2 linked regions of the Pelodiscus sinensis genome follow. Each later gene encodes a partner of the first gene's protein in a complex. Links are inferred from orthologs where the notes say so. Each region holds a gene or a part of one and is shown on either strand. Other genes may lie near its edges.

Region 1 (9,919 bases):
TTAATATAGATTTTTTGGGAAAACAAAACAGAAATTCTGTCCAGTGAAAGCATACTAACCCCCACCTTGGGTCATGAACAGAATCTGGACTAGGGATGTTAAATTTCGATTAATCAGCTAATTGAGTAGTTGATGGAAGTTCCATTGACTACTTGATTAGGCGTCCACGGGTCTTACTACATTTCAAAGACAGAGGCACAGCAGTCGGGACCCAGGGCAAGTGGGCACTGCTTCAGTCCCCACTCACACCATTTCCCCGCTGTGCCTCTGCCTCTCCTGCCCCCTATGGAGACAGAATGCAGCAGTCAGAACCCGGGCTCTTGCTACATTTCATAGGCAGAAGCGCAGCAGTCAGAATCCAGGGCAAGCGGGGTTTGGGTAGCTGACTAGTAGCTTACATCCCTAATTTGGACCTTTAGATTAATAGCAAAGACTACCTCTTAATATAGCAGAATATCATAATATGGTAGAATAACTGGTAGCAGTAGAAGGCTGTTATCCTCTGTGTAAACCAGTCACATGGGCTGAGCACATACTTTATTAGTGGGCTTCACAGCTTTGTAAGCCGATGATTGCAAAGACACAGAATTCCTGGATTTAGTTCCAGGATGTGTAGAGGAATGTGCTGTGCTGGCTGTTAATTATTTTATCTCTGTGCCCTATCGTGTCCTCCCTTACCCCTTCAGCTATCTCCTCCCCTGTTCCTATCCAATACTCATACCTCCTGCTGGCCACCTTCTTGCCCCGCACCCTCTCTGATCCTATCCAACTCCTCACTTCGGCTGTGTCTAGACTGGCCAGCTTTTCCGGAAAATCAGCAGCTTTTCCGGAAAAACTTGCCAGCTGTCTACACTGGCCGCTTGAATTTCCGGAAAAGTGCTGACAATCTCATGTAAGATTGTCAGTGCTTTTCCGGAAATAGTATGCTGCTCCCATTAGGGCAAAAGTCTTTTTCCGAAAGACTTTTGCGCAAAAGGGCCAGTGTAGACAGCACAGTACTGTTTTCCGCAAAAAAGCCCCGATCGCGAAAATGGCGATCGGGGCTTTTTTGTGGAAAAGCGTCCTGCCAATCTAGACGTGCTTTTCCGAAAATGCTTTTAATGGAAAAGTTTTCCATTAAAAGCATTTCCAGAAAATCATGCCAGTGTAGACGTAGCCTTCCTGTCTCCTGCCCACTTCCATCCTTGATCCTATCCAACCCCATGCCCTCCTTGTCCCACCCTTCCTCTTTGCTCATATCCAAAAACTCCTCCCCATCCACCCGCACCTACATCTCCGGCCCTCTTTTGGCTCCTGCAATGCATCATGCCTTTATTGCTTACACCCCCAGCACTCTGAATTCAACTCATGTCATCACCCCAGTTCTTGCCGCATAAGAGATACTGCCCCTGATGGCAGGAAAGAACAATTACACAGAACTATCCAGCCCTTGCAGCTCTGGGCTAATGCATGCTATATGAAATATTTGGAGAATATTGCTACCAAACACCAGTAAGTCTCTTCTGAGCACTTATGAAGTGATTTTTTGAGCCTCATTACTTGGCCAAATTTAAGCAAAATGTCATGGGGACAGCAAAAGGCATATTACTAGCACCAGTTTGACCACCTTGCCCAAGTCTGGTCTGAAGCATGGAGGCAAAAGAGCGACTCCATGAAACAGTTGTAAAAAGGCTTTAAACATTGGGGAAAAGATGTTGTTTTCTAATCTCATTTTTGGAAACAGACAAACTTTCAAATAAAAAAAATGAGCCTGAGGTAGAAAACTAGCACAGAAAACTTCAGCCAAAACAGTCAGAGGTAGGCAAAGTTAAAAGCAACTGAAAACAAAGTCTTAAAATAGAAAGTATTGGATAACCTTAACCTTATAGGCAATGTTACCAGCTCCACTTATAATAGCAAAAAAACTGAAGAAAATTATATTTTAACATTAACCTAAAGATTCATTATAAAAAGGAAAACATGTAGAAAATAAAGTTACGGGACAACATATATTTAAAAAAAAATAATCATTTTTAATCATGTATTTACAGAACATGATGTATTGGAAAAATATCCAAAGCCTGCATATTACTTTTCCCACTTTGTAAACACATATGGTTTTTTAAACTTACCCCTCCTAGTTCCTTCAGATCCGTCTCTAATTTTTCAGAGATCACATTAGATGGAATATCAAGATAAAACACCTTCCCTGTAAGAGGCTTATATTTAGATTTCTCTGTCTTTGTGATATCTTTTTTTGATGTTTTCAGAGAAGGTTTATTTTTTTCTGTTTTTCCTTGTATTCCACCTGGTGGAAAAAAGAAAGAAAGTTTGAATAGGATTATATTTTATGAACTTGCATGTTTTCCAAAATATTTTCCCCTCTTTAAAGCCAAATTCAAGTAGTGACAGTAAGGGCAGGATAAGCCAAAGTTCTGCATAAACAGGATGTATTTTTGAAGAACCGTGGCCCTAAAACATACAAGAAAGAAGATTTGAAAATTATTACACAACCAGCTTTAAAACAATATTAAAGTTTTTTTCAATTACTTCATTTCTCAGAAGACATTTTGATGCCCATCTACAGTAATGTTAAAGGGGAGCAATCACCAAAGGCCCCAACCCTGTGGATCTTGTACATTTCAAAGGAAGCAGCACAGAGGGGAACCCCCTGTGGATGGCTCTTGTACATTTCAAAGGGAGAGAGGCAGCAGGATAGTGAGCACCCCCCTTCCATTGACTATTCAATTAGCTGATTAACTCAGCTACCCCTCTGAAGCTTTTGAAACAGGGATGTTGAATTTCAGTTAATCTATAACTGGAAAAACTTAAAAAAAAATCTAGCTAGCAGCACCTTAAAAACTCTAATTCACTAATTTTTCCTCCTTCCTTTTTTGCCGCCCTCCCCCCCCCATCCCATATTTATTTTGGAACTGGGCTTTTAATATTCCATTCATCTGAAAAAGTGGGTGGTATCCATGAAAGCTCATGATACCATCTACATGTTTTGTTAGTCTTTAAGGTGCTGCTAGCCTATTCGTTGTTTTTTAAGTTTATCCCTCTTTCAGACAGCTTATACAATGAACAAGTTAACCAGTTTCACTTATTTCTAGTCAGTTTCACTTTTTGTTCTAGTGTATCAGCATAAATTAGCACAGAGTCTCCAATATTAAAGAGAAAGGATTTTAAAGCCTAAGAATTTCAGCTTTCTTGTGAATTTTCAATTACTGGAAGTTGTGACAATTTTCTTCCACTATTTGATCTGAGGAAGTGGGTCTGGCCCACGAAAGCTCATCACCTATTAAACCATCTTGTTAGTCTTTAAAGTGCTACACAGTCCTGTTTTTTGTTTTGGAAGATGATGGTGTTTACAAATACAATACAGATATTTACCCATTTTGTGTTTTGAGTTTTTATTACTATTGCTTCCTTGGGACTACCTTAAATAAAATTAAACATTTTTACACGTTTTGTGGGAAATGGTGAGTCAAGCTCCAGTCATAGGTCCACGAACACACCAAGAGACAAAATGCTGGATTGGGGCCTTCTCATAGGTGTTAATTATATGCAGCCCCCTTTTTATTTGACGAATTTGAGAAAAACAGCTCCCAGTTAACAATGTACCTAAATTAAACGATCAAAAAATCCTTTACAGCCACTGAATGAGATTTGCAAACCCTCTGAACTGCTTCCCATAATCGCTCAAGATCATCTAAAGAAAGACCATCACCTACGTGTAACTTGTCCTTTGTTGCTAATCTTCATAGCACTTGGTTTCATTTTCCTGGGGAGTCACATTTTTCCATCCACCTTCCTCCCCGAGTTACGACCTGCCGAAGAAACGGTTCAATACAGAAATTAAATCTCCGAGAGAGGCGGCCCGTGCGTATTGCCCACCTCGAGTTACTGCCCCCTGGCTCCCATACACGCCGCAGCTTCCAAGTCCGCAGCTACCCCCACCCCAGTCACCGCTCCTCTGCGGCTCCGTGGTTCTCCCCAAGCCCCGTCCAAGCCGCCGCTTCCCTCCCCCAACGGTCACCCCTGCTCCAGTCAGCCCTCCCCTCCCCCTCTCCCAACGGTCACCCCTTCCCGCCCCAGATCCCTCTCCCTCTCTCGCGGGTGGGAAAGGCGCTGCGGCTCGCTCACCGTAGGCTCTGAGGCGGCTACCCAGGGCCGAGCCCCCTCCTCCCCCGGCAGCCTGACCGAGGCGCTTTCCCGCCTCGCGACTCCAACCTCCGCACCAGAGGCCTAACCGGGCCTCCCTCCCTCCCGGCGCGGCCTGGCCGGGTCGAGTAGAGTAGCGCCGCCCCCTGAGGAGGGGCCAAGGGGCGGGACTGCCGGGCAGAGAGCAATGCTGGCGCGAGGCGGGCGCAGCGCAGGTGGCTTGTTGGTGCTGGGGCGGCTCCTCCCTCCAGCGCTGGGAGCACAGTGAGTGGGAGCGGCAGCCCGTGTGGCAACCCGGTACGGGCAGGGCGCGGGCGGCTGATGGCCTCTGCGAGTGGGATTGCTGCTGCTGTGCCGCACGAGGCGCCGCTCCTGGAGAGTGGACCGGCTTCACAGCAGCGTTATTTCCAAATACCATAGTGTGCGCGTCTACACAGCAATAATGTCTATATGGAGGAGTTCTTACGCTGGCTCCTGTAACCATAGAGGTGCGCAGCACATTTCATTAGGGTGTGCACCCAGGGAATTTTATTTTTTATTGGTGAAAATTTATTGACTACTCAATCATAAAGGACATGCTGTGAGCCAAGGCAGGCTTTTTATATATTCTACATTCGGCACTTAGAATCATAGAACTGGAGGAGACGTCAGAAGGTCATCAAGTCCAGCCCCCTGCCCAAGGCAGGACCAATCCCAACTAAATCAACCCAGCCAGGGCTTTGTCAAGCCGAGACTTAACCACCTCTAGGGATGGAGACTCCACTACTTCCCTAGGTAACCCATTCCAGTGCTTCACTACCCTCCTAGTGAAACAGTTTTTCCTAATATCCAACCTGGACCTCTCCCACCACAACTTGAGACCATTGCTCCTTGTTCTGCCATCTGTCACTACTGAGAACAGCCTCTCTCCATCCTCTTTGGAACCTCCCTTCAGGAAGTTGAAGGCTGCTATCAAATCCCCCCTCACTCTTCGCTTCTGCAGACTAAACAGACCCAAGTCTCTCAGCCTCTCCTCATAAGTCATATGCTCCAGCCCCCTAATCATTTTGGTTGCCCTCCGCTGGACCCTCTGCAATGCGTCCACATCCTTTTTGTAGTGGGGGGCCCAGAACTGGACACAATACTCCAGATGTGGCCTCACCAAAGCCGAATAAAGGGGAATAATGACACCGCTTATTATATAATACAACAATCTATACCTTTAAACTAAAAGAGCGTATCGTGTGATTAAATTAAAACCCAAAGCCACTTTTTTTTGAGACATTAGGGTGTGCCTGGGCACACCCGGCACACCCCCTGGGTACACCTATGCCTGTAACTCTCATTTCAGGAGGAGTAAGGGAAGTTGAAGGAAGGGTGCTTTTCCTTTGACTTCCTGCAGTGTAGATAGCGCCCAAATCCAAACTAAGCTATTTCCACTTCAGCTACACAATTGATGTAGCTGAAGTTGCGAATTTCGACCTTTGCCTCAGGGCCTGCCGAGCCGTTCGTGCGCCCCAGGAGCGCAGTGCCACCCCCAGGAGTGTGGCGCATGCACGGCCTTGCCCCTGGGCACCCAGTGTATGCGTGGCCTTGTCCTGGATGCCCACTGCATGCACAGCCCCTCCCCGCCTGTTCCGGCAGCCCCACGCGGTGTCCCCTAGAATGGGGCGCCCCGGGTAGTAGCCCGGTCATCCTGTAGCTTAGGCCTGCTCTGCTTTGCCCTGCAGTGTAGTTGTGCCCTTAGCGGCCACAACCCTGAGTGGCAGAGTGGGGCTGGTGTGGGGGAGTAGGGCTATAGTCATTAGTAGGGGATGGTGGCTGGGGTGCAAGGAGCAGAGGTTGTGGTCACAAGTGAGAGATGGTGCGTGGGGGCAAAGAGCCAGCAGGGATGTGATGACTCTTGTGGAGACTTGATGTGTGCCTGTGTGAAGGGAGCGGGTAGGCACTGCCTTTGAGGGAAAGGGGCTGTAGTAGATGCTGATGTTCTTAAAGGGGGGACTGTGTCTTGGCAGTGCAGTGAAAGAGCTTTTCTGTGGAGAGAGCAAGTTCTCAGCCTCTGGCATGGGCAGAAACCTGTGGAAGGGCATGTTCTTGAAAAGGGCTGACTTCATCTCTCCAGGTTCCAGGGCTGAAGTTTCTGAGGCCTCATGTTCAGAGGGAGAGAGTGGTGTTTAATCAAGTTAATTCAAGGGAAAATCTCAGTTAACTTGAGTTAGCTCACCTATGTTAAGAGCACACCTTTTCTCCAGTAAAAGTCTTTGGGGGCATGAATGGTAACAGTTTAACTTTTTGTGGGATGATAAAGACCACTAAAGTGGCCTGTGGCTCAAGCTCAGTCCTCTCCCCACTTCTGCCCTGCTTCCCTCCCTCTCCCCACAGCAGGGAGCCCATGCTGGCACTCCAGCCTCACGCCCCGCCCCCCCACGAATTTGGAGCACCAGGGCACCTTCCTGCTAGGGTAGGGGGTGGGATAGAAAGCCCTGAGCCTCCCCACTAGATCCAGTTCATGGGGAAGAAGCAGAGCTAGAGGTGGCTCCACACGCTGTTGCTTCCCTTCCCTTTCTCCCAGCTGTGAATATAGCAGCATAGGCACATAGAGGCTTTTCCCCGCTGCTCCCATTGGCTGGAATTGTGGCCAGTGGGAGCAGCAGGAGGCCGTGTCTGGGATATGGAGCTTGGGAATGGCGTGGGGCGCAAACGTAAGTAAATGCCTCCCCACCCTTTCATACCCAGACCCTGCACCCATACCCTGCTCCTGCACCCTCCCCTTGCCAGACACCCAGCCTGCTACTGCACCCTCCCTCCTAGCCACACATTGCACCTGCCCCTGCTCTTGCCTCCTCTGTCCTGGCCAGACACCCTACTCCCATCCTGCACCTGCACCCTACCTCCCACCCAGTGCTCACCCCCTCCAGCATTCCACCTCCCATCCAGATCCTGCACCCACATCTTTATCCAACTCACTGGCAGCCTTGTCCCACACACTGAACCCCTGATTTTTGTCCGCCCCCCCACACCCTGGGGGGCCCACAAAATCCACTAACCCCGGTACCCCAGAAGAGTAAATCTGGCCCATGGGAATCCCTGAACCTCAGTCTTCCCTGACACCCCCCGCTCATCCCATGGGGTTGGAGCTCCAGAGAAGTGAGGTTTCTCATTTGGGTGCCCCGTCAGTGAGGGTTGAAGGCTTAGGCAGGGGGCTGGACTTGATGACCCCCTGAGGTTTCTTTCAGCTCTATGATTCCATGGTTCTATGGAGGTTTGGGGAGGGGTTTCTTTGCTTCTGAATTGTGTGGTCCCCAACTGATTTTTCTGTGGGTCATTGGCCCCCGGTCCAAAAAAGGTTCTCCACCCGTGCCATAAATAAATAAATCATTGAAACCTTTTGTGTTAGACATAAAATTAATATTTTACTTTATTTAAAATAGGCCTGGGCAAAGTATAGCCCATGGGCTGCATCTGGTCTGCCAAGCCACCTGATTCAGCTCCTGGACACAGTGGGGAACCCCAGGCAGACTCCCTGCTTGCCTCGCCCTACCCATGTGCAGAAAAGTGGCTGCCAGGCCGTTTTTCTTTCAAAACTATGAACCAGGAGTGGAGAAGGGAAAGCTTCAGGCTCTGCCCCTGCCTCCAGCACAATCCCATTGACTAGTTTCTGGTCAGGAACTGGTCAATGGGATTTGCCTGTTTGAATAACAGGCTGCACAAGAAGCACCATGCCCTCCTCCCCTCCAGCCTGTAGTTATTCTCACAGGTACGTGGCCCTGCAGCCTGCGTGGTGGTTGGGTTAGGCAAAGAAGTTGCTTCAGAAAGGTGCTGGGCTGCTGGATGGGAGTCACCCAAGTAAGTCTCCTGGACAGAGACTGCCTCTGGCATTCCATCCTCTCCTTTCCCTAGTCCTCTGTCCCGCCACTCCTGCCCCCCTACTCCATATACCTAAACCCTCTGCCCCCCTTCTGCACCCATATCTCCTGGATCCAGTACTCCAATCCCCTGCCCCAGATCAGAGTCCCCTTCTGCCCTAAATCATACCCAAACTCTTACACCCCAATCCTCTGCCCTAGGTTACAACCCAAACCACTGCATCCCAGACCAGTACCCCAGGTCACAACTGTCTCCTTCACCCAAACTCCCTCCCAGACCCTACTCTCCATCCTGTATCCCAATCCTTTACTCCAAGCTTCCTTTTGCAACCAACCTCCATCCCTGACTCTGTACTTCCTCCATGAATATCATGGAAGAGTGCAGCCCCTAACCACTTTCCAGAATCTTGGAGTGCCCCCCCCCCCATCAAAAATTATTGCCCACCACTGATTTAAAATGAAGTTTGATAGACTAACATGAGAAAGTTAAAGCATTTAATTTATTTAATAATTTAATATTTCCTTTCTTACTGGTTAACTTAAACTGTTCTCCCTAGTGGCAGCACTAGCAAAATGGCAGGTGTGTTTATGTAATTAGCGGTGAGTTTCTATTAGCAACTGGTAGTCCACAGAAAGGTTTGCATTGAGCCAGGTGGCCTACAGGCCAAAATTTTTGAGAACCACTGGTTTAGACCAATATTCTGCATGTGGCCTGCAAGGCTGTTGTTTATTGTTGCCAGATTCTGCTAGTTTCCTTTCACAACTTTTTTTTCCCTACTGGTATTACTAAAGTGACACTCACTTAAAGCAAAGGCACATTAAGTGAGTTGTATACTGATTGTACACAATGTTGACTGTGAGAGCCATGCACACCTTCTGCATCCAATTAAAGTGATGCTAAGGTTAAATGAGCATGCCCTGAAAATTCTAGGTGTGCAAGCGCAGTTAAAAAACCTCCCGAGATAGGATAGTTTTGCTAAGTTAGGACAATCTTGTGGCCCACTGATATAAAGGAGGGCTACTCATGTGGTCCACTCACTAGCCTAGGTTGCCCATTGCTGGTTTAGATGTAAAGAAATGCTCTGAACCATGGAAGATGGGGTTTGTTTAAACTTGAAAGTTTTACTTTTTTAATGCTTAATGGTATAAAAATGCACATACTTTTCAGGGAGCAAGGTAATCAATAATTGATATAATTGTGACATGGACTAGGGCTTATACTGTTGTAACTGTATCAGTCAAGGAAAAAAAAATACCTGTAAGAACTTACGGCATTGGGACCATAGGGATTCTGTGCTGCTGCATGGCTAGTAGAGACTGAGGCTGGGCTGAGGAGGACTCTGTGAGGGTTGCTGGGTTTGACAGGACATACTGTGCAGCCGGACTTGAGTGGTGGCACTTTGCAGACCACTGGTGGCTAAGAAACTAAGGAAGGAAGGCATCTGAGCAGAAATGCAGATGGCCTGTTTCTTTCTACTCTAAACTCTGCTTGTGATAGACCCTAGTTTCCAGCTTCTGATCTTTTTTGTCCTTAGCTTTGCTCTTCCATTACTGTTTATAGATTTAATCTGAGGAAGTGGGTCTGGCCCACGAAAGCTCATCATCTAATGAACCATCTTGTTAGTCTTTAAAGTGCTACATAGTCCTGTATTTTGTTTATAGACATCTGATCCTCATTTCCTGGTAACTTGCCCCAGATTACAACTGGATTTCTCTCTGGCCTGTCTTGGACTCTGACCTTCTGCTGATCTTCTTGGTTCTGCTCTGACTAATAAGTCTGACTACCATTGTCCAGTTGTGACACAGACACAGTTGTGGGATATTAACTCTTCTAGTGTAGGCAAGGCCTAAGTGACTGTCAGAGCCGTGCATGCTCTCTGCATCCCCAGGAGAGGAGTCAGCATCCGGGAGCTGGCTCCCTGTGTGAATTG
Region 2 (10,283 bases), on another chromosome or scaffold:
TGGAGGTGTGCCTAACGTAGTGAATACAAGCAGAGAGAGGGTAAGTTTAGAAGATAGGATACACAAAGAACAAGTTAAAAATCACTTAGGAAAGTTAGATGTCAGCAAGTCACCAGGTCCTGATGAAATGCATCCCAGGATACTCAAGGAGCTGATAGAGGAGGTATCTGAGCCTTTAGCTATCATAGAATCATAGAATCATAGGACTGGAAGGGACCTCGAGAGGTCATCGAGTCCAGCCCCCTGCCCTCAAGGCAGGATCAAGCTCCGTCTACACCATCCCTGACAGATGTCTATCTAACCTGTTCTTAAATATCTCCAGAGAGGGAGATTCCACCACCTCCCTTGGCAATTTATTCCAATATTTGACCACCCTGACAGTTAGGAATTTTTTCCTAATGTCCAATCTAAACCTCCCCTGCTGCACTTTAAGCCCATTACTCCTTGTCCTGTCCTCAGAAACCAAGAGGAACAAATTTTCTCCTTCCTCCTTGTGACACCCTTTTAGATATTTGAAAGCCGCTATCATGTCCCCCCTTAATCTTCTTTTTTCCAAACTAAACAAGCCCAGTTCATGAAGCCTGGCTTCATAGGTCATGTTCTCTAAACCTTTAATCATTCTTGTCGCTCTTCTCTGTACCCTTTCCAATTTCTCCACATCTTTCTTGAAATGTGGCGCCCAGAACTGGACACAGTACTCCAGCTGAGGCCTAACTAGTGCAGAGTAGAGCGGCAGAATGACTTCACGAGTTTTGCTTACAACACACCTGTTAATACAACCTAGAATCATATTTGCTTTTTTTGCAACAGCATCACACTGTTGACTCATATTCAACTTGTGGTCCACTATGACCCCTAGATCCCTTTCTGCCATGCTCCTTCCTAGACAGTCGCTTCCCATCTTGTATGTATGGAACTGATTGTTCCTTCCTAAGTGGAGCACTTTGCATTTCTCTCTATTAAACCTCATCCTGTTTACCTCCGACCATTTCTCTAACTTGCTAAGGTCATTCTGAATTATGTCCCTATCCTCCAAAGAAGTCGCAACCCCACCCAGTTTGGTATCATCTGCAAACTTAATAAGCGTACTCTCTATCCCAATATCTACATCATTGATGAAGATATTGAACAGTATGGGTCCCAAAACAGACCCTTGAGGAACTCCACTTGTTATCCCTTTCCAGCAGGATTTAGAACCGTTAACAACCACTCTCTGACTACGGTTATCCAGCCAATTATGCACCCACCTTATCGTGGCCCTATCTAAGTTATATTTGCCTAGTTTATCAATAAGAATATCATGCGAGACCGTATCAAATGCCTTACTAAAGTCTAGGTATATGACATCCACCGCTTCTCCCTTATCCACAAGGCTCGTGGATGATCTTTGAAAAATCATGGCAGACAGGGGAGATTCCAGAAGACTGGAAAAGGGCAAATATTGTGCCCATCTATAAAAAGGGGAATAAGAACAACCCAGGAAACTACAGACCGGTCAGTTTGTCTGTCCCAGGGAAGATAATGGAGCAGGTAATTAAGGAAATCGTATGCAAACACTTGGAAGGTAATAAAGTGATAGGGAATAGCCAGCATGGGTTTGTGAAGAACAAGTCATGCCAAACTAATCTGATAGCTTTCTTTGATAAGATAACGAGCCTTGTGGATAAGGGAGAAGCGGTGGATGTCATATACCTAGACTTTAGTAAGGCATTTGATACGGTCTCGCATGATATTCTTATTGATAAACTAGGCAAATATAACTTAGATAGGGCCACGATAAGGTGGGTGCATAATTGGCTGGATAACCGTAGTCAGAGAGTTGTTGTTAACGGTTCTAAATCCTGCTGGAAAGGGATAACAAGTGGAGTTCCTCAAGGGTCTGTTTTGGGACCCGTACTGTTCAATATCTTCATCAATGATGTAGATATTGGGATAGAGAGTACGCTTATTAAGTTTGCAGATGATACCAAACTGGGTGGGGTTGCAACTTCTTTGGAGGATAGGGACATAATTCAAAATGACCTTAGCAAGTTAGAGAAATGGTCAGAGGTAAACAGGATGAGGTTTAATAAAGAGAAATGCAAAGTGCTCCACTTAGGAAGGAACAATCAGTTCCATACATACAAGATGGGAAGCGACTGTCTAGGAAAGAGCATGGCGAAAGGGATCTAGGGGTCATAGTGGACCACAAGTTGAATATGAGTCAACAGTGTGATGCTGTTGCAAAAAAAGCAAATATGATTCTAGGTTGTATCAACAGGTGTGTTGTAAGCAAAACTCGTGAAGTCATTCTGCCGCTCTACTCTGCACTAGTTAGGCCTCAGCTGGAGTACTGTGTCCAGTTCTGGGCGCCACATTTCAAGAAAGATGTGGAGAAATTGGAAAGGGTACAGAGAAGAGCTACAAGAATGATTAAAGGTTTAGAGAACATGACCTATGAAGCCAGGCTTCATGAACTGGGCTTGTTTAGTTTGGAAAAAAGAAGATTAAGGGGGGACATGATAGCGGTTTTCAAATATCTAAAAGGGTGTCACAAGGAGGAAGGAGAAAATTTGTTCCTCTTGGTTTCTGACAAGGAGTAACGGGCTTAAAGTGCAGCAGGGGAGGTTTAGATTGGACATTAGGAAAAAATTCCTAACTGTCAGGGTGGTCAAATATTGGAATAAATTGCCAAGGGAGGTGGTGGAATCTCCCTCTCTGGAGATATTTAAGAACAGGTTGGATAGACATCTGTCAGGGATGGTGTAGACGGAGCTTGGTCCTGCCTTGAGGACGGGGGGATGGACTCGATGACCTCTTGAGGTCCCTTCCAGTCCTATTATTCTATGATTCTATGATTCTATGACGCCACCCAACTGGCTGACTGGGCTAACCGCCTAAACACGTCAGCCCACGAGCAGTTCTATGTCCGCCTGCCCTGGCTACTTCCTCACCCCCAAGTGTCTGGGCTTCACCGTCCGCCTCCTGTTCCACTATCCTCAGTTTTCCCAGTCCTCCCTCAGTCCCGGCCGCTCCTCTCTCTGTTCTCCACCTCTCCTCCTTTTAACACTGCCGCTTCCCCTCCTGCACCGGCATCCCGGGGCCGGCTCCCTGCCCCTCCTCCGTTGACCTCACCTGAGCTGCCCCCCATTGCACCTGCGCCGGTGCTGCCATGTCTGGGGTCGAAGGCGCATGTGCCGCCAGGGAACTGGATGCTGCTCGCCAGCTCCGCTCCGGCTGCCAGCTCTTCTCTCACCGCGGTCCGAGGGGAGAGCGGCTTGTCCGGCCCCCGGCGGAGGTCTAGTGGCGGGGGTGCGCTTTGCTCCACGACCCCGTCACAGAGATGGTATTAAGACCCCAGACTCATGACACCCACAAAACGATATATTACCATAAGTTGTGAGGGGTAGGATCAGGGGCATTTGCTCCAGTTATATTTGGGCCTGCAAAGAAGCTGGAGATGAGAATAGTGAGTGGGGATATGGGTAAACACTCTGTGGCATCAGAGTTGGACCCAGGAACACTAGAAAATAGGCTTTATGGCATCAAAGCTATGGACATGCTTGCTTGAAACTAAGTCCAATAAACATCACATTGCCTGCACTTCAGACTTCTGGTCTTTTGCTTTCCATCTTCATGAAAAGAATCGGGCGGGGGAAGAGAAAGTTCCCTAACACAACCTGAGTCCTAAAGAAAACCAAACAACTGGGCAGTAGGGATGTAAAATCCTATTTTAAACCAGTAAAACGTTACATTTAATTGATTAACTAGGATCATGCAGGCAGGGGGGCCACTCTAGCCTAGATAGGCCCAGCTGGGTTGGAACAGTCCCTTGCCCATGGCGCAGGGGGCCCGGCCATGCAGGAGTGGCCCCACACCCGCAGTGTAGCATGATGGGTCCAGCCTGACTGGAGCAACCCTTTGCCCATGGCTCCAGTGTAGCCAGATGTGCTGCATTGCAAACTGCTTTGGCCACACTGGGCTGAGCCCATTGTACTGTGGGTGAGGAGCTTCTGCTCAGGCCAGGCTGGGCCTGCTGCCCTGTACTGTGGGCAGGGGTTGCTCCAGCCAGACTGGACTCAACTTGCTGCAGGCAGGGAGCTGGCTGATCCAGGCTGTCTGGGCCCACTGTGCTGCCCAGTTATCTGGTGGCTGGGCTGGGCTGGAGTGCCCTCCTCCAGCAGCGCAGTGTGATGGACCCCACTGGACTGGAGCGCAGGGGCTGCTCCAGCCTGGCCAAGTTGCCAGTTATCTCCAGCTTCCCCAGGGGACAGAACTTAAGGGGAGGGGACCCTGTGGTTCCTGGTCTCTTCTGTGGTAGGTGTGTTTCCTCTGGGGACACCAGGCCTCTCCTCAGAGGGGGCGGCTCTGAGTGGGGGCCTGGGCTATGGTTCCTGGCCTCTCTTCAAAAGGTGGTGTTTCCTACAGGATGGGGTGCACTGAGGTTCCAGGCTTCTTCCAGAACGGGAGAGTCTACTGCAGAGGGGACGGTGACAGGCCCTGGCCTACCTAGAGAAGGGGAGTCTCTTCCAGATGGGATGGTCCATGGTTACTGAGTCTCCTGTGGGTGTGGGCTTTGCTGTTTGGGGGGCTGTGGTGGCAGCCAGTGACTGATGGGACTCCCCCTCCATTCAACACTGTGGCCGAGGGCTGTGGAGAAAGGCTTGGGGCAGGGAAGCCACTTACCCAGTCCAGTGACTGGCCATGTAAACAGCTCTGTCGCCAGCTGGCCAGTCTCTTGTTGGTGTGGTCGCTCTCCAGTGGTCACTCTGCAGTGTAGCTATCCCTCCTGTAGCTTCCTCCATTTCCATGTGATAAAAAATAATCCCATTCCAGGCACTTCACGTTTTCCTGGAACAACCAAACCCTCACCTTGCTTTAAGAAAGGAAATCTTCTGTGTCCGCATATTTATCTATTTCCACCTCTACAATATTGCCTGGTTAAATATAGTCCATGGTTCAAGTTCAAGTTATTCTCCAAGTTAAACTTGCTATTGTCAGTGATAATTCACACAATGTTATTTTGAAAGTGTGATAATTTACAAATATATTTGTGCAAGGGATTGTACTAACTGTTTCTGTATTTGCATGTTTACCACCTTCCCCACAGCTTTTTTTTTAAAGTGGGTAATTTTTTTTCACCATAATGTTTCTATTTTTCCATATTTTGACTTCAGTGGCATAAAAAGCTTTAATGGAGTGAGAATCTAGCCAGCAATATCAGTAAGCAGCAACGATGACTACTTTAAAGCTGTCTTTTATAGTATTTCTTAAACTTACTGGTTTCACATTGTTTGTTTTCTTTAAAACTGGTCATCTCAGGGTATGTCTACACTACCCTCCTAGTTCGAACTAGGAGGGTGATGTAGGCATACCGCACTTGCAAATGAAGCCCGGGATTTGAATTTCCCGGGCTTCATTTGCATAAGCGGGGAGCCGCCATTTTTAAAACCCCGCTGGTTCGAACCCCGTGCAGCGCGGCTACACGGGGCACGAACTAGGTAGTTCGAACTAGGCTTCCTAGTTCAAACTACCGTTACTCCTCATTTCACGAGGAGTAACGGTAGTTTGAACTAGGAAGCCTAGTTCGAACTACCTAGTTCATGCCCCGTGTAGCCGCGCTGCACGGGGTTCGAACCAGCGGGGTTTTAAAAATGGCGGCTCCCCGCTTATGCAAATGAAGCCCGGGAAATTCAAATCCCGGGCTTCATTTGCAAATACGGTATGCCTACATTACCCTCCTAGTTTGAACTAGCGGGGTAGTGTAGACATACCCTCTGTGATTTAAATTATTTAAAAAAAATCGAATTCTTATATAGCGGATTCTATACAAAAGTAAAGTTGTGCATACTATCATAGCATATGATTAGTATTAAACTTTTAACATTTAAATCTGGAGGAAGTTAGGCATATATGATTGAAACATCTAGTTATTTTCCCATTGTATTTGGCATGTAGCACCAAGATGGAATAATAGCCTACAAGCCATTTTATAAATAGACTACTATAATAATAAACATTCCTTAACTTACTGTACATTCTGTAAATCATTAAAAGTCATTGTAACCACCCCAGTCATTATAATCTATTCTTCCCCACTATCACCCTGGAGAGACTATGCCCCTAATATATGAACAGTTCAAAAATGTGATATTCCACTTAAACCTTCTGTAGAAACACTGGGTTTGATTCACCTCTTATTTATATTAATTTTGCATTGGTAAAACTGCACTAACTTCAGTTGAATTACTCCTGATTTATACTGGTGTAACTGAAAGCAGAATGAGATCTTCCGTTCACTGATTTTGAGACAGATACAGCAGAGAGCAACAAAGACATGATGTCTGTTTTCCGTTTGCATGCCATACTTTCACTTCTAAAGAGCTACTAACAAAAGAACAAAGAATTATAGTTCATAAGAAAACTGTTTCATACTCCTATATAAAAGAACAAAGAAATATATACAAAGAAAACCATGTCTTACCCCAACTCCAACAGGCCTGACTGAGGTATGCTGAAGTCCCAGCAGGCAGAATGAAGCAGTTACAGTGCCCCCAGCAGACAGCAGTGTTGGGGCCCTGAGATAAAAGCAGTCTATCAAAGAGAGAAATTTTGTACTGAAAGAAAAGTGATACATATATCACTTAAGGCAACTGGCTTAAAATATTAAAAAAGAGGACAGCATCATAGAAAGGGGGTTTCTTTAGAAAATTGCCTGTGGACTATATTTTAGTGTTCAGAAGCCTCTTCCTGATGTTATTTTATACAATACCCAGTTTTCTCCAGTTTCAGAAGTACTAATATTCAGTGGCTGCAGAATCACAGAAAGCTTCTGGATTCTGCTTATGCCTCCTCCACACTCCTGAAGTCCTATTTCCAGCAAATGTTTCAGAACTATATAGCCCTGCGCATGCACACACATGGCTGCGCACGCTCACATGCTCACACACACACACACACACACACACGTACATCTACACTGTGGGGGTTTTCCAGGATACTGGAGATATCCCAGAAAAACTCCGCCACGTCCAGGGAACGCATTTGCTCTTCTGCTTTTTCTTTGCAGAAGTGCAAATGTGCTCTTTCAGAAGCCTTGTCTTCCTCATTCCATGAGGAAGAAGGGATCTTCTGAAAGAGGGAGATTTTCCAAAATTTGGTCCAGTGTAGACAGGTCAAATTTCGGAAAAGCCTCTTCCAAAAAAAAAAAAAATAGGAAAAAGCTGTAGTGTAGACCTACATACCAGCCACTCAGGTGTTGATGGTTCCCTGCTTTGAAAAGGCTTCATTTTGAACTAAAGATATTAGATACCTTTGATAAAATATGTTGCCCCTTTTTGTAAAACACAATAGATTATTAAATTAAATATCTGGCTGAATGTAATTATTATATTACCTTATATTTTATCTCTGTGTAGTGCCTATTTTCTGCTAGCCTAGTTCTCATTTGTTATGTTGATATTTGTTATTTATGCTTTTTGCTTGTTTAAAATAACTATAACTAGGGATGTGATGAATTCCTGATACAGAATCTGATTAAAATAAAAAACCCTCCAATTTCAATAACAGTTCATAAATTTACTTGGACAGTGCTTTTCTGATGCTTTCTAAGAATATGGATAATGAATGTTCAATAGTGTGCAAATACAACCTAGTGCAAATTTCAGCTATATATGACCTTAGGAATACATGCTACATACCATCCGGAAAACATTGGTCATTTTTATAACATTAACAAATAATATTGCTAAAAATCTATTAATTAAAATATTAACAAAGTTTGCTAATATAAAGATGGATGGTAGTGCTGCTTAAACCCCCTCGTCTCTGTCTTTTATCCTGCAAAGGTGCTTGTTTGGGGATCACCACGTCAACCTTGACTGAGGTGGCAGAGGACTGGTGTAGGAGATTTTAAGGCTGTGGAGCCAAGCATTACTAATCTCAGAGAAGTGTCCTGTTCCCTCAAACAGGAAGTCTTGAAGAGTGGTAACTTGAAGAGAGGACTGTAACTAGGAGCTCCACCTACTGCACTGCTGACTGCCCTGCCACCTAGTCCGTAGCATCCCAGGCAATTTGGAGTGTGCCTCTCGCTATCGCTGTGCCTTCCTCCACTAAGGCAACGAACTTCTGGGCTCGGTCCTGTGGAAGGGCCTCTTTGAACTTGCCGATGGAGTCCCACGGGTTGGATGTCAGAGCATGCTATGGTGACAGATTTGGTGCTGTGCTTTGATTCTGGTGCCAGGGACAGTTTGTCCATTGCAATCAGGGAAGAATGGTGGGAGTACAGGATCAGCATAATAGGTATGCCCCACAGATTCCAATACAACCACTGAGTGGGCCACTGTCTCTGATGCTGCTGCTTCCGGAGCCGCACTGATCTTGTGGGATGGTGGTGATTTACCTTTTCTTGATGAGGGGCTGAACTTTCCCTCTGACTTGGACCATTGTCCTTTTTGTAACCAGGGCAGAGCTGTACAGTCCTGAGTTGGCCAACTGAGCCTCACTGGCGACCAGTAAGGAGATGGCGTGGATCAGTGCCTGCCCAAAGAATGGTACTGGGGAGTTGGAGACCAATGCCACAACCGGGAATGATCCTGCATTGGAGAGTATCAATACCTGAGAGAGAGCCTAGTCGATGATCTTTGTCTTGACAATTTTTGGCAGGAGGCCCGTTGATATCATGGGTATGGGGATTAGTATTTTGGTGGTGTCCCGTGCCTTGTAGGTGGAGATCAGGGTGTGAAGTACCTGGGTCTTCTAAATAACTTATTCTTTGTCCATCAAAAGCATTATGAGGAGCCATGGTCCACTGCTGCTTTCAGAATTCAGATCCCCGGCTGAACTAGGGGATCCAACCACAGCAGCGACCCTGTGCGAACATGTGGCCTGCAGAGCGAACATGTGGCCTGCCTGACACAGGTCTTTTTCCCAAAGTCCTCTTCCCCTCTGGTGCTGGTGGGCCCTTCATCTTTAGCAGCTTCTTAGGCACTAGTGAGGGGGAATGGTGCCTGGTGAATTCTGGTGCTGGCCGTGCGTTCTGCTTTGATGCCAAGGTGGTAGGTGTGGAGTCCAATCCGGAGGGTTCCAAGGCCAGACAAAGTGCAGTGTCCATGAGAAGATCCTTGAATTGGATATCCTGCTCCTTTTGATTTTGAGGCTGAAAGACTTTGCAGATCCTGCACTTGTCCTTTCTATGGGACTCCCCCAAACACTTTAAACAGCATCATGGGGTCACTAATGGACATTGGTCTTCTGCATGATGAACATGGCTTAAAGCCTGGGGAAGACGGCATTCCCAGCCAGGACTCTAACTACTAAACTATTACATTAACACTTAACTTAATAGTCTAAGTACCTAAAAACTAAATATAAAGGAAAGAGAACAATTAACTGTAAGAACTGGTAGGCTCCTGCAATGCAAAATAGGGCTCTTAGATCTGTAGAAATAAAGAACAGAGAGGGAATAGGGCCAGTGGTGCCTAATATAGCATCACATAAGCAACTCCAGGGGGCGCCACAGCCAATCCCATGGACACTGCTAAGGCAAAAATCTCTATTGACTGTTCACATGGGCAAACATACACCTGGAATGGAATCAACATGAGTAAACATACGAAGAAGTCTCATTTCACTGTCCTGTTCTCTCTGAGAACCTGTTCAACTGAAGTAAAGCTGGTTGAAAAATTGTTAACAGAAGAGTTTTCTGTTGGAAAAATGCAATTTTGCCAAACTTGAAACATTACAAGGGAAAGTGTTGATTTCTGTGGCATCTTTGTCAAAAAATTCTTGAAATGAATTGTTTTGACTGCCTCATTTTGTTTTGATAATATCAAAATGTTTCCTTTCAATAAGATAAAAATGTTTCATTTAGACTTTCTTGTTTAATTTTGATTTGAGTTGATATAATGTTAAATGTTATATTTAACATTTGAAAGTATCTTTTATATTTGATGTTTTGATATTTCCAATACATTTTTTTAAAATTTTTGTCCTGTAAGTAATTTAGAAATTTCAGCTTTCCTACATCAAAAAACTAATTTTGAAATGTCTGAATTTCCCATGGTATAGCAATTCAGCCTTCTGACAAACTATAACTGAAAAATAAATCTAAACTTCCTCTCTCTTAGCAATCAATTTTAGCTTTATGCAGTACTTAGTTTTCTCCAGTTTCAAATGTATTAATAATTCAATAAAGTATGTTGATGATGGTCATGGTATGTCACAAGTTTCTGCTTTGCCCCAACCCCCAAACAACAAAAGTCTTTTTATATTAGGACTAGAAGATTTACCCAGCATTGCTCAGG

The links. Proteins that work in one complex are often made in the same cells at the same time.
Region 2: the proteins of DBF4 (region 1) and CDC7 are in contact, whole or in part, in a crystal structure (PDB 6YA8), measured with the Homo sapiens proteins. The link is inferred for Pelodiscus sinensis from reciprocal best matches to the Homo sapiens genes DBF4 and CDC7. Residues at the interface, in NP_006707.1 of Homo sapiens: Thr210, Arg211, Thr212, Gly213, Arg214, Leu215, Lys217, Pro218, Phe219, Val220, Lys221, Val222, Glu223, Asp224, Met225, Ser226, Gln227, Leu228, Tyr229, Arg230, Pro231, Phe232, Tyr233, Leu234, Leu236, Met239, Pro240, Ile242, Asn243, Tyr244; in NP_001127891.1 of Homo sapiens: Asn56, Val57, Phe58, Ala77, Gln78, Leu79, Gln80, Ile87, Ile93, Pro94, Thr95, Ser96, His97, Pro98, Ile99, Arg100, Ile101, Ala102, Leu105, Gln106, Thr109, Lys121, Tyr122, Cys123, Phe124, Arg125, Asn127, Asp128, Val130, Leu143.

Annotation. Positions count from the first base shown.
Region 1 is NC_134712.1:216,914,824-216,924,742, forward strand, and holds the start of DBF4 (protein DBF4 homolog A), read right to left. Parts: upstream 4,275-9,919; 5' UTR 4,126-4,274; intron 3,810-4,125; 5' UTR 3,760-3,809; coding exon 3,714-3,759; exon of another isoform or gene 3,710-3,713; intron 2,288-3,709; coding exon 2,112-2,287; intron 1-2,111. UniProt on the Homo sapiens protein: Regulatory subunit for CDC7 which activates its kinase activity thereby playing a central role in DNA replication and cell proliferation. Required for progression of S phase.
Region 2 is NC_134719.1:33,694,664-33,704,946, reverse strand, and holds the start of CDC7 (cell division cycle 7-related protein kinase), read right to left. Parts: upstream 4,686-10,283; coding exon 4,666-4,685; intron 1-4,665. UniProt on the Homo sapiens protein: Kinase involved in initiation of DNA replication. Phosphorylates critical substrates that regulate the G1/S phase transition and initiation of DNA replication, such as MCM proteins and CLASPIN.